Elephas maximus indicus: one gene and its partner. The protein of the gene in region 1 purifies or fractionates together with the protein of each later gene. This does not show direct contact. Links are inferred from orthologs where the notes say so. Each region holds a gene or a part of one and is shown on either strand. Other genes may lie near its edges.

The links.
Region 2: the proteins of RBPJ (region 1) and RITA1 purify together in Homo sapiens (affinity purification with mass spectrometry; 4 studies listed by BioGRID and IntAct, with this or other methods). This does not show direct contact. The link is inferred for Elephas maximus indicus from reciprocal best matches to the Homo sapiens genes RBPJ and RITA1.

The regions. Positions count from the first base shown.
Region 1 is NC_064823.1:136,632,560-136,640,768, forward strand, and holds the start of RBPJ (recombining binding protein suppressor of hairless), read right to left. Parts: upstream 3,014-8,209; 5' UTR 2,966-3,013; coding exon 2,907-2,965; intron 2,747-2,906; exon of another isoform or gene 2,695-2,746; coding exon of another isoform or gene 2,675-2,694; intron 1-2,674. UniProt on the Homo sapiens protein: Transcriptional regulator that plays a central role in Notch signaling, a signaling pathway involved in cell-cell communication that regulates a broad spectrum of cell-fate determinations.
Region 2 is NC_064840.1:11,328,723-11,336,110, reverse strand, and holds the start of RITA1 (RBPJ-interacting and tubulin-associated protein 1), read right to left. Parts: upstream 3,117-7,388; 5' UTR 2,909-3,116; intron 2,347-2,908; 5' UTR 2,215-2,346; intron 1,590-2,214; 5' UTR 1,541-1,589; coding exon 1,239-1,540; intron 980-1,238; coding exon 472-979; 3' UTR 1-471. Other genes in the region: ATP-dependent RNA helicase DDX54, read left to right, coding at 3,215-3,388, 6,108-6,237. UniProt on the Homo sapiens protein: Tubulin-binding protein that acts as a negative regulator of Notch signaling pathway.

The DNA of each region.
Region 1 (8,209 bases):
TCTAATATCCTACCCATTCAGGGTTAGAAAGATTATTTAACGAGTTACATCTGGCAGGAGTGGCTTTTTACTCAAACCATTTTTTTTTTAATCTTAGCCGCTTAAAAGACAATAATAGACTGATACAGAGCAACAGGTAACTTTGTAACAAACGCAACTGCTTAAATTCAAATGCCTAAAAGCGCACATCTGAATGTTCTGAAAATACTGCAAGTGAACTGCTTATATTTTTCCCCGAAATATATTCCCCGCAGACTTATCTGCAATATGCATGAACAATAAGTTAAAAAATTTAACAATCAATACTCAGAATATAACTTTCCCAACCACTATTCAACCTGTATACTTCTAAATGTGCTATTCCGGATATAATTTAATAAAGGCACTTCTTATTTTGGTCATGAGATAAAGGTCTTACATCAAGAAACAGTATACGATTTAGAAACAGAATACACAAGTCTTAATTGAAAAAACTTTATAAGATGTTTGCGTGATCATTCTCACGTGTAGAAATCAAGGCAAATGCCTTACATTATTACATGATATTTACATTTTGCTTACAGTCAGAGTCAACAGTGTGTGCTCAAGATTTACCTTCAAAAGCCTGATGATGCACTATTTAAGGACAAATAAGGGAAACAAGTAGTAATTCCACTCATGGAACCCAAACCGCAAATTTTCACAAAACCTCATGTGTCAATCATGAAACTATGCTTTTTCCATTAATTAATTCAACTACTAATCCCAATCAAAGTCTTCAGACAAAAAATATGCTTTCTAATGTACCAATCAATATTTGCATATCAGATCTTGTAAATCTCCTATCAATAGCACTTTACGGGGGCTTTAGTTTACAAATGAAATCACTGCCTCAAAATGATTTTATGGTTACCACATCTTCTAAAAGTACTGACCAACTAGTGGGGGAGGAGGAAACTCTTAACCATTATATTCTGTGCAGTAATCCTGGTAAGTCTAACATTTCATAGTCCAAACACCAGAATAACTCAGGCCATTAAAATGCCACCGCCCCCACACACAACTCCATAACAACAACAATTTAGAACAATCTAATAGTATTTAGGAAGTGAATGTAACTGCCTTTAAGGTGACTTTATTTCAGGCTACTCCTTATGTATCTTTTAATCACATCTGATTTGACATAGTCCACAAAGACCGAAGAAGCATTATTCACCAGCTAGAAACTGCACTCTTAAGCGTTTTCCTCATTTCAACCCCAAAGGACAGGAGAGTTGTCACAAATCTACAGAGCAAAAGCAAACAAGTGTAATTTATATCTAATAATCAACAATAACAAAAAAAAAACTAAAATATGTGTATCAAATCAATTCCCAAGCAGAATGCCTCCCTTTTCCTTACAAAGGAGTTATTGGCAAAATAACTAGACTCTAGATCTAGATTCTAAAGAATACTGAAATTCTCCATCTCAACATTCACAAGTTTTAACATCAAAATTCACCTAACTCCTACTCGCACACCAAATGAATATACAATGTGGGTATCCGAAACGAGTCTCAAATAATATGTCTCCCTCTAAACGTACTACAATAGCCTTCGCCCAACCACAGGTAACCAGATGCAAAGCTACAGACAGCTGCCCTTGGCCCAGACCGTCAGAAACCAAGAGGTGGGGGCAACAACCACCAAGAGACCCTATCTTTTTCCAGGGCTACTGTTTCCAAGCAAAACAATCACGGGCCCAGAGGGACAGCGAAGAAAACTGGAGACGCCGTAACCCCAAGAGAAAGGGGTGCGGGGGAGAGGAGGGATGCCGAGAAAGAAACGAAATATCTTCGCGCATCATTCAGATCCACAAAAACAACAAACCGTAGGATTTGCACGTAGAAACACCAGATGGAGTCCCCGGGACTGAGACAGTTGAGGAGACAGACACCATGGGTAGCGGATAAATGACCGAAGGGGGGGGTGCCGAACGAAGAAAAGCAGCCACTGGATGGGGGAGACAAAGCCTATGGGGGTGATCAAGGACCAAACAGAAAGGCTGGAGAAGAAACGAATGAGAAAAACAATGGAAGAAAAATTAAAAGACAAAAATTTGCTACCTGGGCTGTGCCAGGTCACTGGGCTGCCGAGCAGAGGGGGGCAAAACAAAGGGGCACGAGAGGAAGGGCAGCGGAGGAGAGGAGATGGGAGAAGGGATGCGGGGCGCGACGGGTCAGACAAAGCGCCCAAGGCGGTGAAACAAAGAGCTGGGGGTAGAAAATCGCGGGGGGCAGCGAGTAAAGACAAAGCGCCCGGGACCGGAGCACCCGGCGGGCGAGGAGGCGACGGCGGCCGGGAGGAACAAAGCTGCGCGGGGCCGGGAGGCAGGGCCCGCGGGCGGCGCCAGCCGCACGGGCGGCGCGCGGCGGACACAGCGCCCGAGGGCCCCGCGCGCTCGGCAGCACTCACGCCCGCACCCGCCGGCCTCCCAGTCGCCGCCGCCCGCCCTCTCGCGCTGGAGCCCGAGCCACGGCGGCGCAGAGTGGACAGCGCACGGCCACACGCCGCCACCGCGCTCGGCGCACGCGACACCGCCCCCGCTGCCCCCCGACACCGAGCGCACCGCGGCCCCCGAACCCGCCGCCCGCCGCCGGCTGCGAGACGGCCGCAACTTTCCCCGTGCCCAGCGCTCAGATTCCCTCAGACTTACCCTGTCACAACAGGCGCCATCTTCCACAAACTCTCGCCAAAACTCCAACCCTCGCGAGATTCCCCCCGACGCCTTCCCTGGTCCCTCTCCCCCGCCCTTCCCTTTTTCCTCACTCCTCGAGTCCACCCAGCCCCCTCGCTCTTCTTCCCCTCGCAGCCGCCGCGAAGAGCCAGACGCCTCGCGCCGCCTGCCGAGTAGGGGATCCTGCTTGCTGCCGTCCCTGGAAACCTACCCAAGCGATGGAGCATGCGCAGGCGGCTGCCCCGCGGGCGAGCCCTCCGTGTGGTCCATGGGGAGCGCTCCGGTTATCCGGGTTTTGGGACGCACCCTGAGGGACGTACGTGGAGACTGAGGAAAACTGGAGGGGATTACAACTGGGACGGGGAATGGAGGGGTCAGGGGGCGGGGCCAAGGGGAAGGGAGGAGGGGTCCTGGGAAAATCTGCCGCGTTCCACAGGCCTAGATGAAACACCTCCTCAAATGGGTGTTTTCCAAGTAGCTTCCCGCTCACTCTGGGTTCCCAGCCTCTTTCATTCATTCAAACGTTCATTGGACGCCTCCTTTATGCTGGTCTCAGCGTTAGATGCTGGAGCTACTAAAACGCCTGGGCTTAGGGCGAGTGGCATACGAGGAACCTTCTTCATTCATTCGACACCCAGACTAATGGGAGACGAACGTTACAACATGGTCCGACCCTACAGAGCTCTGCACACGGAAAACTTTTGCAGTTGAGCCCTGTCGCCTTAGCTTCTTTCTCCTTGGGTGCGAAATGAGGCCAGGTCAAGGCCTCTGGCAAAGGCATCCACCTCACACGCACACGCCAGAATGTCGAGTAGTTTTCTCCAGAAGTGAAAACTATGATGGAATTGAGAGCCGCCACCACCCAGCCCGGCCAGAGGGCCGGCTCAAAGCTGGCTGCCGTCGGCGTGAGCAGCAGCCGTGAGTGACCCCAGGTCAATAGGGGGCCGACTCTGCACAGAGCACCGGGCCTCCCCGGGGCCTGGCACAGCCAAAGACCCCACCGCTGCCTGACACGTACTTCAAGGGGTTTAAATCCGGACGACTCCCCCTAAGCCAACTTGGCGGGTCTGGGCATTTAATAGAAAGGTGCAGGGCCTGGACCCCGCCCGCCCTCCCTGCCGCCCTCCTACCCCACCCTCGCCCTTTCCTTTCCTAGAGATTCCCAGATCCTGCTCTGCCTCCCGCAGGGAACCCCAAAACCCGGAGAACTGGAATCCTCCGGCCGAAACCTGCTGAAGGCGCTGCAGGATTGGCGCGGCACACGCGAGAGGCAGTGCGCATGTGCCCAATGCAGGCAGTTCAGTCTCACGCTACACCTCCTTCCCACCGCCTTCCACTACTCCGCTCAGACACAACACGGGCCGTGGGAAATTTCCTAAACCTCGCGAGAACGCGCCCTCTGTTGCCTATGCTTGAGCCCCAAATCTCGCGGAGCGCAGGCTGGACAGGTGTTTGTCTTTTGCCGCTCCGGGCGCTGTTCGTGCCGCGCGTGCCCGGGCGGCTGGCGGCGAGCGCAGGTGGGGTGGGAAGGGAGCGGCTCGCCGCGGAGGCGGGGCAGGTGGGCGCGTGGCAGGCCGCGCAGGGCGGAGAGCGGCTGGGTGGGAGGCCCGACGTCTCGCACACACTTGCAGGTTCCTTGACTCTGCATGCAATAAAGGGTGGGGGCATGGGGCCTCTTAGGGAAGAAGAGGAAACAAGGAGTTTAGGAACTGCTCTCGGTGCAGAGGGATAAGAGGTCAGACTACAGGGCAGGAGGAACCCCAGGCCGATCTCCCGGGGAGGTTTCCTGTCTCCTTTCACGAGTCTGGTACTTTCCTACAACGTGTTAGACACTGCGGTCCCCGCCTCCGGAGCTGACGGACAGCCCCCAGTGTCGGATTTGAGTCATACCTCTGAGTCACCTAGCCGGGCCTCCACTTCACTTGCATTAAAACAAGTCTGGATTCTCATCTACCCTGGGGCTTGTGAGTTAGGTAGAAAAAAATAAATACATGTTGCTCTCTGCGCTCTCTCATTGTTGCTTTGTATAGATTCTGCTTCCCATTCAAGGACACGATTTTTCTTTTTTTTTAGATCATCCCCTCCTCAATCTCTTCCTAGCCTTTTGAAATAGTCCCTATATATCAGTTTCTGTTCTTTTTTTTTCTTCCTCCCCACTAATATGACATAATTTTGGTTTTGCTTTCCTTCCCCTTTCCATGTTTTTTGTTGAAAGACTCATTCCATTTTAGGTATCCTTTCGTCAGATCCCTTAGTGACCACTGTTTTAAGTCCGTCCCTTTCTTTTGGATTTTTTATTTTGTTCAGTGAGTTCCTGATTGCGTTTCTCAGTCAGGCTCACTTCAGACTGGCCTTAGTATGGTTTCTGTACCAGCCTAGCCTAGCCTACCATTGTCCAGGAACTGGTGTCTTGCTGGGAACATATTGTTGGCCAGCAAATGTAGAATTGAATTTTGATTCCTGGAGGACAGTGAGCCCTCTAGCAGGAGCTCAAGTTCTGCTGGTTGTATAATGGTGTTATAGGAGAAAACACATAATAAAGTTGAGTAAAGTAAAAAGAAAGTTTTATTTGGCATATATTCAAAAAGGCAAAAGTGGGAAGTGGACAAGCATGCTGCCGGAGCTACTGTCTGCCCCAAACCAAGGAAATATAGAACAGACAAAGGTGGGAAAAGGGACAAGCATACTACCACAGCCATGTCTGCCCAAGTCCAAAGAACATTACAGAGTCGTTAGTATATATTAACACTATAAATGGACAAAACCATTGAAAGCTTCACCTTTTTACAGATTGGCTAGAAACTATGATCCGACATTTTGAATTGTCCCTCTCAACAATCATTGGTACAGGTTTCAGTAAAGACGGTAAGGAAGGTCTTCACTGGTCCAACAAATTTTCTCTTCACTAAATGCTAATAGAAAAAGATAAGAGTGGAACGTCTTTTGTGTTCTGGCTTAAGTGAAAGATTCCCTAGAAGATCTTTTCCAAGATTATCTGTTGTCTTTATACCTCAGGGTTCAGTTGATGTGTCCTTGTGAGTCCTTGTGGGCCCAGCTGCAGCTGGGTCACATTCTCTATGCTCAAGGATAGGGAATAATGACTCCAATATTATTTCCTAGATCAATGGGCAGGAAATTAAATTTTTGTTTGTGCTGTTTTCATGGTTGTTAGGGGTGTGTGTGTGTGTGTGTGTGTTGTACTTGCCTGTATCTTTTGATTACATAGGGTCTCTATGAGTCAGAATTGACAGCAATGGGTTTTTGTTATTATATATTTAACACAGAAGAAGAAAAAATACAAAAGAATTTAATATAATATCTCAAAGTAAGTCTGATTTGAAAGAGAATAGCTCAGGAGGAGGACAATGACCTTTGGGCACATATTCCTTGGAGCCTTCCTTTCATGAAGCCATTTCCATTTTGGTCTAGTCCAGGCCACTGATCTGTTTTGGAACCATGGCCATCTGAGAGCTTCAGCATCCTTGGAAAATAATGGTAACCGTAAGTCTAATCACAATTCCTTAGGGTAAAGTCTAATCAGAACTTCAACCTAAAACTCTGCTCTAAAACATGGTCAGTCTATAGTCTTCGCCCATCTCAGTAAATGCCAACTCCATCCTTCCACATACTTAAGCCAAGAAGCTTGGTATGTTCTTGTGTTTTTTTTTTTTTTTTTTTTCATACACCTAACCTCCAGTCTCACAGAAAATCATGCTGGTTCCATGTTCAAAATATAGGCACAACCCAAGCACTTTCCCACCTCCATGGCTACCAGCCTGGTCCAAGCCATCTCATTCTCACCTGAATTCAGGAAGTCTCCAAACTGCTCCCCTTTCTTCCATTCTTGCCTCCCCATAGCCTCTTCTCACAGAGTACTCAGAGTGGCCCTGTGCTCAGAAGGTTCCAATGCTTTCCTCATTTCACTAAGAGGTACTTCAAGATCTGGCCTGCTACCAAAAGCCCCTGACCTCTGACCTCACCTTCTCCTCTTCTCCCCCTTGCTCACTGAACTGTGACCCTGTGGCTTTCTTGCTGTTCTTGGGACACAGGAACACACTCTCAACTCTAGGCCTTTGCTCTTTCCAAAATGTTTGTCCCTCAGACACCTTATGGCTTATTCCCTCACTGCCTTTACTGCAAATGTCACCTTGTCTCAGTGAGACCTTCCCTGACCACCCTTCAAAAAAGTGACTCCCTGTACTCCACATCTTACCTATTCCATTATTTTTCGCATGGAATTTATAAACTAACACACCATATATCCTACTTGTGTATTGTGTTTACTGTCTTCTGCTATTGTGTAATCTTACTGAGGGCAGGGATTTTTATCTCTTTTGTTCAGTGTTCAAGCCTTGGCCACAAGAGCAATGCTAGGCATCATAGTAGGTACTCGGTATTTGTGGAATGAATTGGGTGTCTTCCCCTTTAGGGCAAAGTAGAAATGATTCCGAAGACTCACTAAGCCTTCTAACATTCAAGACAATATTGGGTATGACCACTGATAAGTGCCCCAGTACCAGCCTGCCTGAGGAGGGGGAAGAAGTCTACAGTACCACCTGTGTTAACTTGATGCAAAAATGAAAGTTCTTATCTACAGATTAGACCTGTAGAACAGTAGATGAGGCCACATTTACTTTAAGGGTTTCCTTTACTCTCCATCTTAGCACCTCAGGAAAGAAAACACTGTTGGCAGGATATATAAAAACAAGCATTCTTATAGGTTGCTAGCGAAGTGAAAATTGGTATAACGTTTATCGAAAGCATTTTGGCGAAATATATCACTACCTTCTAATCCTACAATTCTGTTTCTAGAAATTTATCCTACAAATACGCTCACATATGCAGCATCAAATGTGGTAGAAAATATTAGTAACCTTCTAAATGTCCATAAGGAGATGCCTTTTTTTTTTTTTTAATCATGATATATTCATAGAGTGGAATAGTATGTATCTATTAATAAGCAGAGGTTTTTTTAAGTGTATTTATGTGGAAGGCTCTCAAAGGTATACTAAATTTAAAAAGCAAGGTGCAAAACAGTGATAGATAAATGTACAGTTACTTGCTGTGTGTGTCTAAAATGGCTCTGGAAGGACTGACTAAGAACTGTAGTAGTGACTGTATTCCTATAAAGGACTCAGTGGCTGGAGGACAGAGATGAAGAGGTGTCTGTCTGCTGTCTTGGATCTTTTGAACTTTGTACCATGTGTGGGTATTGCCTATTTAGAATATAAATCATTAAAAAAAGGAGTGCGAGAAGAAAAAAAAAAAAAAAGAGACCAAATTGTTTCTTTTCTTCCACTTCCTAATAGAATTATTTTCTAATGAAAGGTAAGTAGATGGTCCACCATCTCAGTAAAATTAAGAACCACAGACCTGCTATCTTAGCACCATACCACAGTCTTTTGTTAACACTGCACTCATTGTCCATTCAAACAGCACGTTTTGAGTACCTGCCATAACGTGTCAGACATCATCTTTAGTGGTTTACAAAGTTGAGTAATGCAAAGATTATGA
Region 2 (7,388 bases), on another chromosome or scaffold:
CTATCCTGGGAGTCTCTGGGGCTTCTAGACTCAGCTGGAAATGACTCCTGAGCTGCAAGCTCGGCTTGAAGTGGGGGAAGGAACCTTTGGTCCCAGTTGGCAATCACATTTATTCACACTTGGCACCAAGACCACGTTGTAGGCTTGGTGGGGGAGGGAAAGGGTTCCTCCCCTGGGGGCACCTGGGTTGGCACTGATATGGAGCATGGCTGAGACAAGAGAGGCATCTCAAGGACCGCCTCCCAATCCACGTCAGGAAGCAACTACACATTGTCAGAATGAAGGGAGGTACTGCCCACCATGCTTTCCCTCACCATCCCCTGGGTGCTTCTCCCATACTTGGGAGACTCCAGTCTGGGGCCAGAGGCTAGCGGGCCTCTCTGGCAGAAGAAGCCACCATCAGTGCTATACTCTGAAGCCGTGCCCTTCGCTATGACCCCACAGGCAAACCCAATGCCAGGACCAGGAAGCTCATTTCCAAGGGGGCTTTGGTGTCTGGGGGGCCCTACCACGTCGGGGAGTGGCTGGCACTGACACACTGATGGAGTGAGCCCTGGGAGTCACCAGGGGGCTCCGGAAGGTCACCCCTGACAGCGGAGACCTGGGGTCCCGAGGCCCATTGGCACGGGGAGGGCTGGCACATGGATGAACAGTACTGGGAACGTTCAGGTGGGTGAGAGACTGGGATCGTCCCCGCCGCAGAGGGTCTGGAGTGTCTAACCCATCCAAGGGTAGCATCTGGGAGTGTGCCGCCACCCTGGGCTCTGTTTTGGAGGGACTGGCTGGGTGGACAGCTCGAAGCGGGGTTTCCCTGGGCCGGGGTGAGTGGCTACCCTTGGGAGTAGCGGGGGGTGTCCAGAAGAGGGCACGGAGTTTTGCAGCATCGCCCTTTGCCATCCATGAGGCCTCCCAGCCAATGCCCCCAGGTCGGGGGCCAAACAGCGACTCGTCACAGTAAGATGGAGTGTGGCTGATCAATCTGGTGGAGGGAAGAGAAATGCAGTGAGCTGGGAGAGAAACAACCCCCAAAACCTTAACACTCCCTCCAGCACCCACAACAGCAGAAGGGTTGCCTGCAGATCCCAAGAGTCCCTGTTCCCCAGCCTGGCACCACAGTGCATCCTGTCCCAATTCCCCAGCATGTGCCCCCGGCCTGGCCAATCAGTTCCCACAGCAGGTCTGTCACAGGAATGCAGATGGCTGCATTGAGTACAGAGTACAGCTCCCTACCCCGCTACCTGTATTTGTTCTTCTTTCTTGGTGTGAGGGTAGGGGTGCTGCCCCTGGGCGGGGTGCTCTCATAGCTCTCGTTGGCCCCCGAGGCCTGCAATGCCCCTATACTCATCCCCCTGGTTCTGCTGGTCTTTTCCACCCAGGGCGGGTCGAAGTCTGGTGGGGTGGGTCGGGTACCCGCAGGGCTGCCAAACAAAGTCTCATCCACGTATGACGCCCTGGCCTTGGGCCGGTGGCCACCCCGGGAGCGGTGCTGAAGGTGGAGGGTCTGCATCCTGTTGATGGCCAGCTCCACGGGGGTCCTCATGGCTTACACTGGGTGCACTCTGAGTGCCAGGCCCTGCCTGCAGGGCTGCCTGTGAAAGAGGATGGTACCAAGTCAACAGCAGTGCTGCTGAGGGAGACTGGTAGCTCCGAATCCCACTGACTCCTCTGGCTGAGTCCCGCTAGCAAAAGGGTATAATTCTCCCTCAACCAGTCCTCCTAAAGTGAGCGTTGCCAACCCCAGGGGCATTCTGGCAATTCGTTGGGGGTGTTTCTAGTTGTCACAGTGATGGTGGGGTGGGGCTACCGGCAAATAGTGAACGAGTGAATAAACAGATGAATCGAATAGTTTGCCTGCATGCTGTGGGTTCTCAATTTATGTAACAACTGGGAAGATGAAAGAATGATGGGGTCTGTGTCCATTTGAAACACACTACGGTACGGCAGGAGGGGAAACCCTGGTGGTGTAGTGGTTAAGTGCTTCGGCTACAAACCAAAGGGTCGGCAGTTCGAATCTGCCAGGCGCTCCTTGGAAACTCTATGACACGGTTCTAACCTGTTCCATAGGATCACTATGAGTCAATATCGACTTGATGGCACTGGGTTTGGTTTTTGTTTTTTTGGATGGCAGGAGGGGGAGAAGGGCAGGTCCGCACTCACATACCCTGTGTATATTTAAGAGGGTGGGACTATTGACCGCCAGTATTGACCACTTACCTCCTTCCAAGTGGTTGTCAACCATCCTCTCATTTAATGCTCTCAACAGCCCAGTGAAGCAGCTTCGATTATGTTCATTTCACAGATGACAAAATAGCCTTCAAAAAGTGAACTCAGATGTGTAGGCAACGCCTGGAAAGTGATGGAAAGGACATTTGAATCTTTTATGAATTGAGAGTGGTTCCTGGGTGGTGCAAATCGTTTGTGCTTGACTACTAATGGAAGGGTTGGCAGTTCGAACCCACCCAGAGGTGCCACAAAAGGCAGGCCTGGAAATCTGCTTCCATGAAGTTTAGAGCCAAGAAGATCCTATGGAGCAGTGCTATTCAGTAACATATGTAACTGTCATGAGACCGAATCCAATGAACCCGTTTGATGTGGGGGTTTTTTGGTATGAATTGAGAGCCTGAGCACTTAACCTCTCTAGTATTTTGGTTTTACTCCTCCGATTCCCCGCTGCTCCCTGGTTAATGCCCAAGCTCTCTATATTCTTGAGTTATTCTCTTACCTGGGCATCTCGGCTGGCAGCCAGCCCCCAGCCCCCGTCTCGAGCGCCCCCTCCCCACCAAGTCAGGACCCCATTGCTGGGGCGCACGAGCACCCAGGGCGCCCTATGCATCTGTGATCGCACTTCGTTCGCATCCGGGAATCCCGGAGCCCAGGCCGCCCCGGCCCCCAGCGCGGATGCACTCACCCGGGACAGCCATGCCCTAGCGACGTGTGCTCGGCGCGCGCTTCCAACAACAACCACTGCGCAGCGGGGCCGAGGCGGCTGGAACCATTCCTGCCTGGCGGCCGCCCCGCTCCTGACGCCCCCGGGGACCTCCCAAAGGCAGGAGACGGTCCCCTGGCAGGGCGGGGGTTTACGTGCCAGGCTTCCGGGGCTGCGAAAAGCGGCGGGGGCGCAGCCAGGGGCGTGGAATGGGCTCCCCCCGCCCGGCCACGCAGTTGGTGCGGCCCGCAGGCTCCGCCCCCTTCCGTCTCCGTCCGCCGGGCCCGCATGGCGGCCGGCACGCGTCCCGCGGCCGGATCCCGGTCCCGCGCGGCCATGGCCCAGTGGCGGAAGAAGAAGGGGCTCCGCAAACGCCGGGGCGCGGCCTCCCAGGCCCGCGGCAGCGACTCGGAGGACGGCGAGTTTGAGATTCAGGCGGAAGATGACTCCCGGGCCCGGAAGGTGGGAGTGCGGGGCTGGGATACGCGGGGGGGCCGGCACGTTTGCGATCCGGGCGCTGAGAGCCGTGCTGCCGCGGCCTCGGTTTCCCCGCTGTGGGGTGGACACGGCTGAGGGTAGGGGTCGGGTCCGCCTGCCCGGCGGCCTGAGCATGGGTCTCGGGGTTTGCCGGGGCTGGAGACTCCCGGTTCCGGTGGCCCGTGCGGTGCCTGCAGGCGTTGCAGCCTGGCTTCTGATAGCGCGCTACCTCATTGGCTACCTTCTGCCCAGGGGGCGAGTCCTAGCCTCCATTCGTCCAATGAAAAGTGCGGGTGAAGGTCTGACTTTGTGAGTTTGGGGGATTCTTGGGAGGTTGCTGTAGGGAGAGGGCTGAGAGACTCACGCCCCTACATCTCCTGGAAAACTAATAATAAATGAAACTTGGCGCTTGTTGAGCGCTTACCACGTGCCGGACCCCGTGCTAAGAGCTTTTTACTTGCCTTATTCAATCCTCACACCAATTCGGTCATCTAAGTACTGGGATCCCCATTTTCCTGACGAGGAGACTGAGACCTAGAGGGGTGAAACAAGTTGACCAAGACCTCACAGTTTGTGAGTGGCATGTTGTTGTTTTGTGCCATCGGGTGGATTCTGACTCACATGCAGAGGAGGACTGCACTCCTTGAGAGCAGGTGCCAGATGAGACCTCGTTCCACCGTTTCCCCACCCCAGCCTCATCAGGTGCCTGGCACACAGTAGGTGCTCTGTAAGTGCTGAAGGCACTGAACAGCACAAGAGGGCAGAGATCGTAGTAAGTGCCAAAGAAGAGGAGCTCACACAGTCGTTCAGACCCATGGCTTTGTCGTGACGCAGCCCTGCGTTCAAATCTGCCCCAACCTTGTACTGGTTGTGGGACGTTGGTTGTTGTTGTTGGGTGCCGTTGAGTTAATTCCGACGCGTAATGACCCCGTGTGACAGGGTAGAACTGTTCCATAGGGTTTTCTAGGTTGTAATTTTTACAGGAGCGGATCGCCAGGTCTTTTCTCCTGCAGAGTTGCTGGTGAGTAAGGCAGGTAACCACTGACCTTTTGGTTAGCAGCCGAGTGCTTAACCATTGCGCCACCAGGGCTCCTTTTGTGGGAAATTGGAGAAGGTGCTTAACCTCTCTGTGCCTCGGTTTGCACATCCATGGAAGGCAGGTGATTTTATGTGCCTCGAAGACTGTGGAAAGGATTAAATGACAGGGTATGTACGTTTATGCATCCCTTCAGTGAATATTGCTAGGACATCATGTGTTCCTGCCACTTTGTTTTTGTGTACCTAGAGCAAGAAACTCAAACCAAACATGTTGCTGTCAAGTTGCGATTCCAACTCACAGTGACCCTGTAGGACAGAGAAGAACTGCCCCATAGGGTTTCCAAGAAGCAGCTGGTGGATTTGAAGTGCTGACCTTTTGGTTAGCAGCTAAACTCTTTCGGCCCCCCCCCCGAAGAAAACCAGTTTATTTGACAAACGAGAACATGACTCCAGAGATATAACCTATTGTCTTAGTCATCTAGTACTGCTGTAACAGAAAGTAGGTGGCAGCCAAACTCTTAACTACTGTTTCACCAGGGTTCCTATCTAGAGCAGGGGTTGTAAATTTTTCCTATAAAAGGGTGTGGTGGTAAATAGTTCAGGCATGTGGGCCAGTTAGTCTCTGCCTTTTTTGTTTGAATTTTTCAGTCTTTTAAGAAATGTAGAAACCATTCCTAGCTCACAGGCTGTACAAAACAGGCTGCAGCCTTGACCTAGAGAATCATAGTGGAAAGAACATAGACCCTGAAGCCAGTATTCAAACCCCTGAACCCCACTTGCTGGCCGTATGACCTTGGGCAGGTCACTTCCCCTTTCTGAGCCTCTGTTCCCTTCTCTGTGAAATGGACATAATAATAGTGTCTATCTCACAGCCCTCCCAGGGCTGTGATGAGGAGTAAGTGGGTTAATTTATGTGACTGTTCAGAGAGGCACCTGACGTATCGTAAGTGTAGTGTCAGTTTAAGCTTATTATTAATTAGTGCTCCATAAATGTTTCTGAGAGGAAAGGGATCAGCCTTATAGTCTGAGAAGGCTCCGCAGAGGCGGCATCCGGTTGGATTCAGCTTAAAGGACAAGTGGAACCTGGACAGGCAGAGAGAAGGTCAGGGGAGACAGAGGCCAGAGTTGGGGTGGGGTGAGTCAGAAAGGAGATTGGGGAGGGGGCCAGCACAGCTTGGAAGAGTAGTACCTTATACAAAGTAGGTGTTTTCATTGACTTCTTACAGGTTTTAATTTCGAGAGCTCTGAATGACAGGCCAGGGCGATGGTGATGATGTTGATGATAGTACTACCAGCTGTGTGCTGGACCCTACTCTAAGTTTTCCACTTACCCATTTAATCTTCACAACAACTCAGTGAGGCAGATGCTCTTGTTATCCCTATTTTCCGATGTGGAAACTGAGGCTCAGGGAGATTAAGTCACTTGCTTGAGGTCTCACAGCTGGTAAGTTACAGAACTGGGATTCAAACCCAGGCAGCGTGTCTCCAGAGTCCACGTTCTGAACCTCTGGCTTGTCCTGGCCCAGGCACAGGAGAGACAGTTAGCAGAGAAATCATGTGATTTGTGAGGATAATTGGTTTGAATCAGGGAGAAACTGGCAACAGGACAGTCTCTTCTCCTGCCCCCAGCGCCTAGAGTGATGCTGCCTCTGTTCTTCCCTTCCAGCTGGGCCCTGGCAGACCGCTGCCCACCTTCCCCACCTCAGAATGCACCTCGGATGTGGAGCCAGACACCCGGGAGATGGTGCGAGCACAGAACAAGAAGAAGAAGAAATCAGGAGGCTTCCAGTCTATGGGTGGGTTAGCCAGGCATCCGGGGGCCTTAGGGAAGCAGTAACAGGGGTCATCATAGCCTCTGCACTCGATTACTGATGTCTGCGCTGGGCCCAGCACTGTGGTGAGTGGCTGAGGCAGCAGACATGGTCTCTAGGCATTCAGGGCCTGACACGTAGGAGAACAGTCAGAGCAGGACTTGGAAAAGGCAATGCCAGTGCAGGAACAGGCAAAGACATTTGGGGATTTAGTGCACGACAAAACTGCATTTCACACCAAGGGGCAAAGTGGATTAGTTGGGCAGTGGTGTTGGAACACCAGGCCAGCTCTTTGGAAATAAAGCTGATCCTTCTGCCTTGCTCTTTACAGATCAGTAGCAGCTGGAGCAAAGATTTGAATGTCAAAGTGAATATTTTTATGATCTTAGGAGGGAAAAGAAGGCCTTATAAGTGTGGGCACTACTTAGTCTCACTTTTTTTTTTAAACTAAGCATGCATTTGGCCAAAAAACACTATAAACAAATTAAAATAAATGCCGTATTTGTAACCTATGGGACAAAGGGTTGGTATCCCTCATATACAAAGAGTTCTTTCAAATCAATAAGAAAAAGACAGATACCCTGGTAGAGAAATGGGAGAAGGAAATGAATAGACAGTTCACAAAAGGAATCTTAGATGGCCAATTGATAAACTGCAAAGTGTGCTAAGCTTCATCAGAAATCAAAGAAAAACAAGTAACATCTACGTATGGCAATATTTTGCCATTCCGAACAGCAAAGATGAAAAATTGACCAAAAAGTGTAGCTAAGGCTGTGGTGCTTTCCTGTCTCCAAGCTTTTCCAGTATCCTCCCATCTCCACACTCTTGAGTCATATTTAGTCTCCAAAGGCTGCCTCCTCTCCCATGTGTCTCACTTCTCAGCACCCACACCTGCACCTTGTCCTTAACACGTTTTTTAAAAATATTTAGAAAATTTCAAACATAATTAAAAAAGAACCTAGCACAGTACAGTGAGTCTCCAGGTACCCATTACCCAGCTTCAGCAGGCTGTAACAGTCAGCCTTGTCTCATGCATATACTCCCCACCCCTGGGTGATTGCAGAGCTGATTGCAGACACCAGGCCATTGTATCCATAAATTCCTCGTATATGCCTTTGAAAGATGGCAGTATCTTC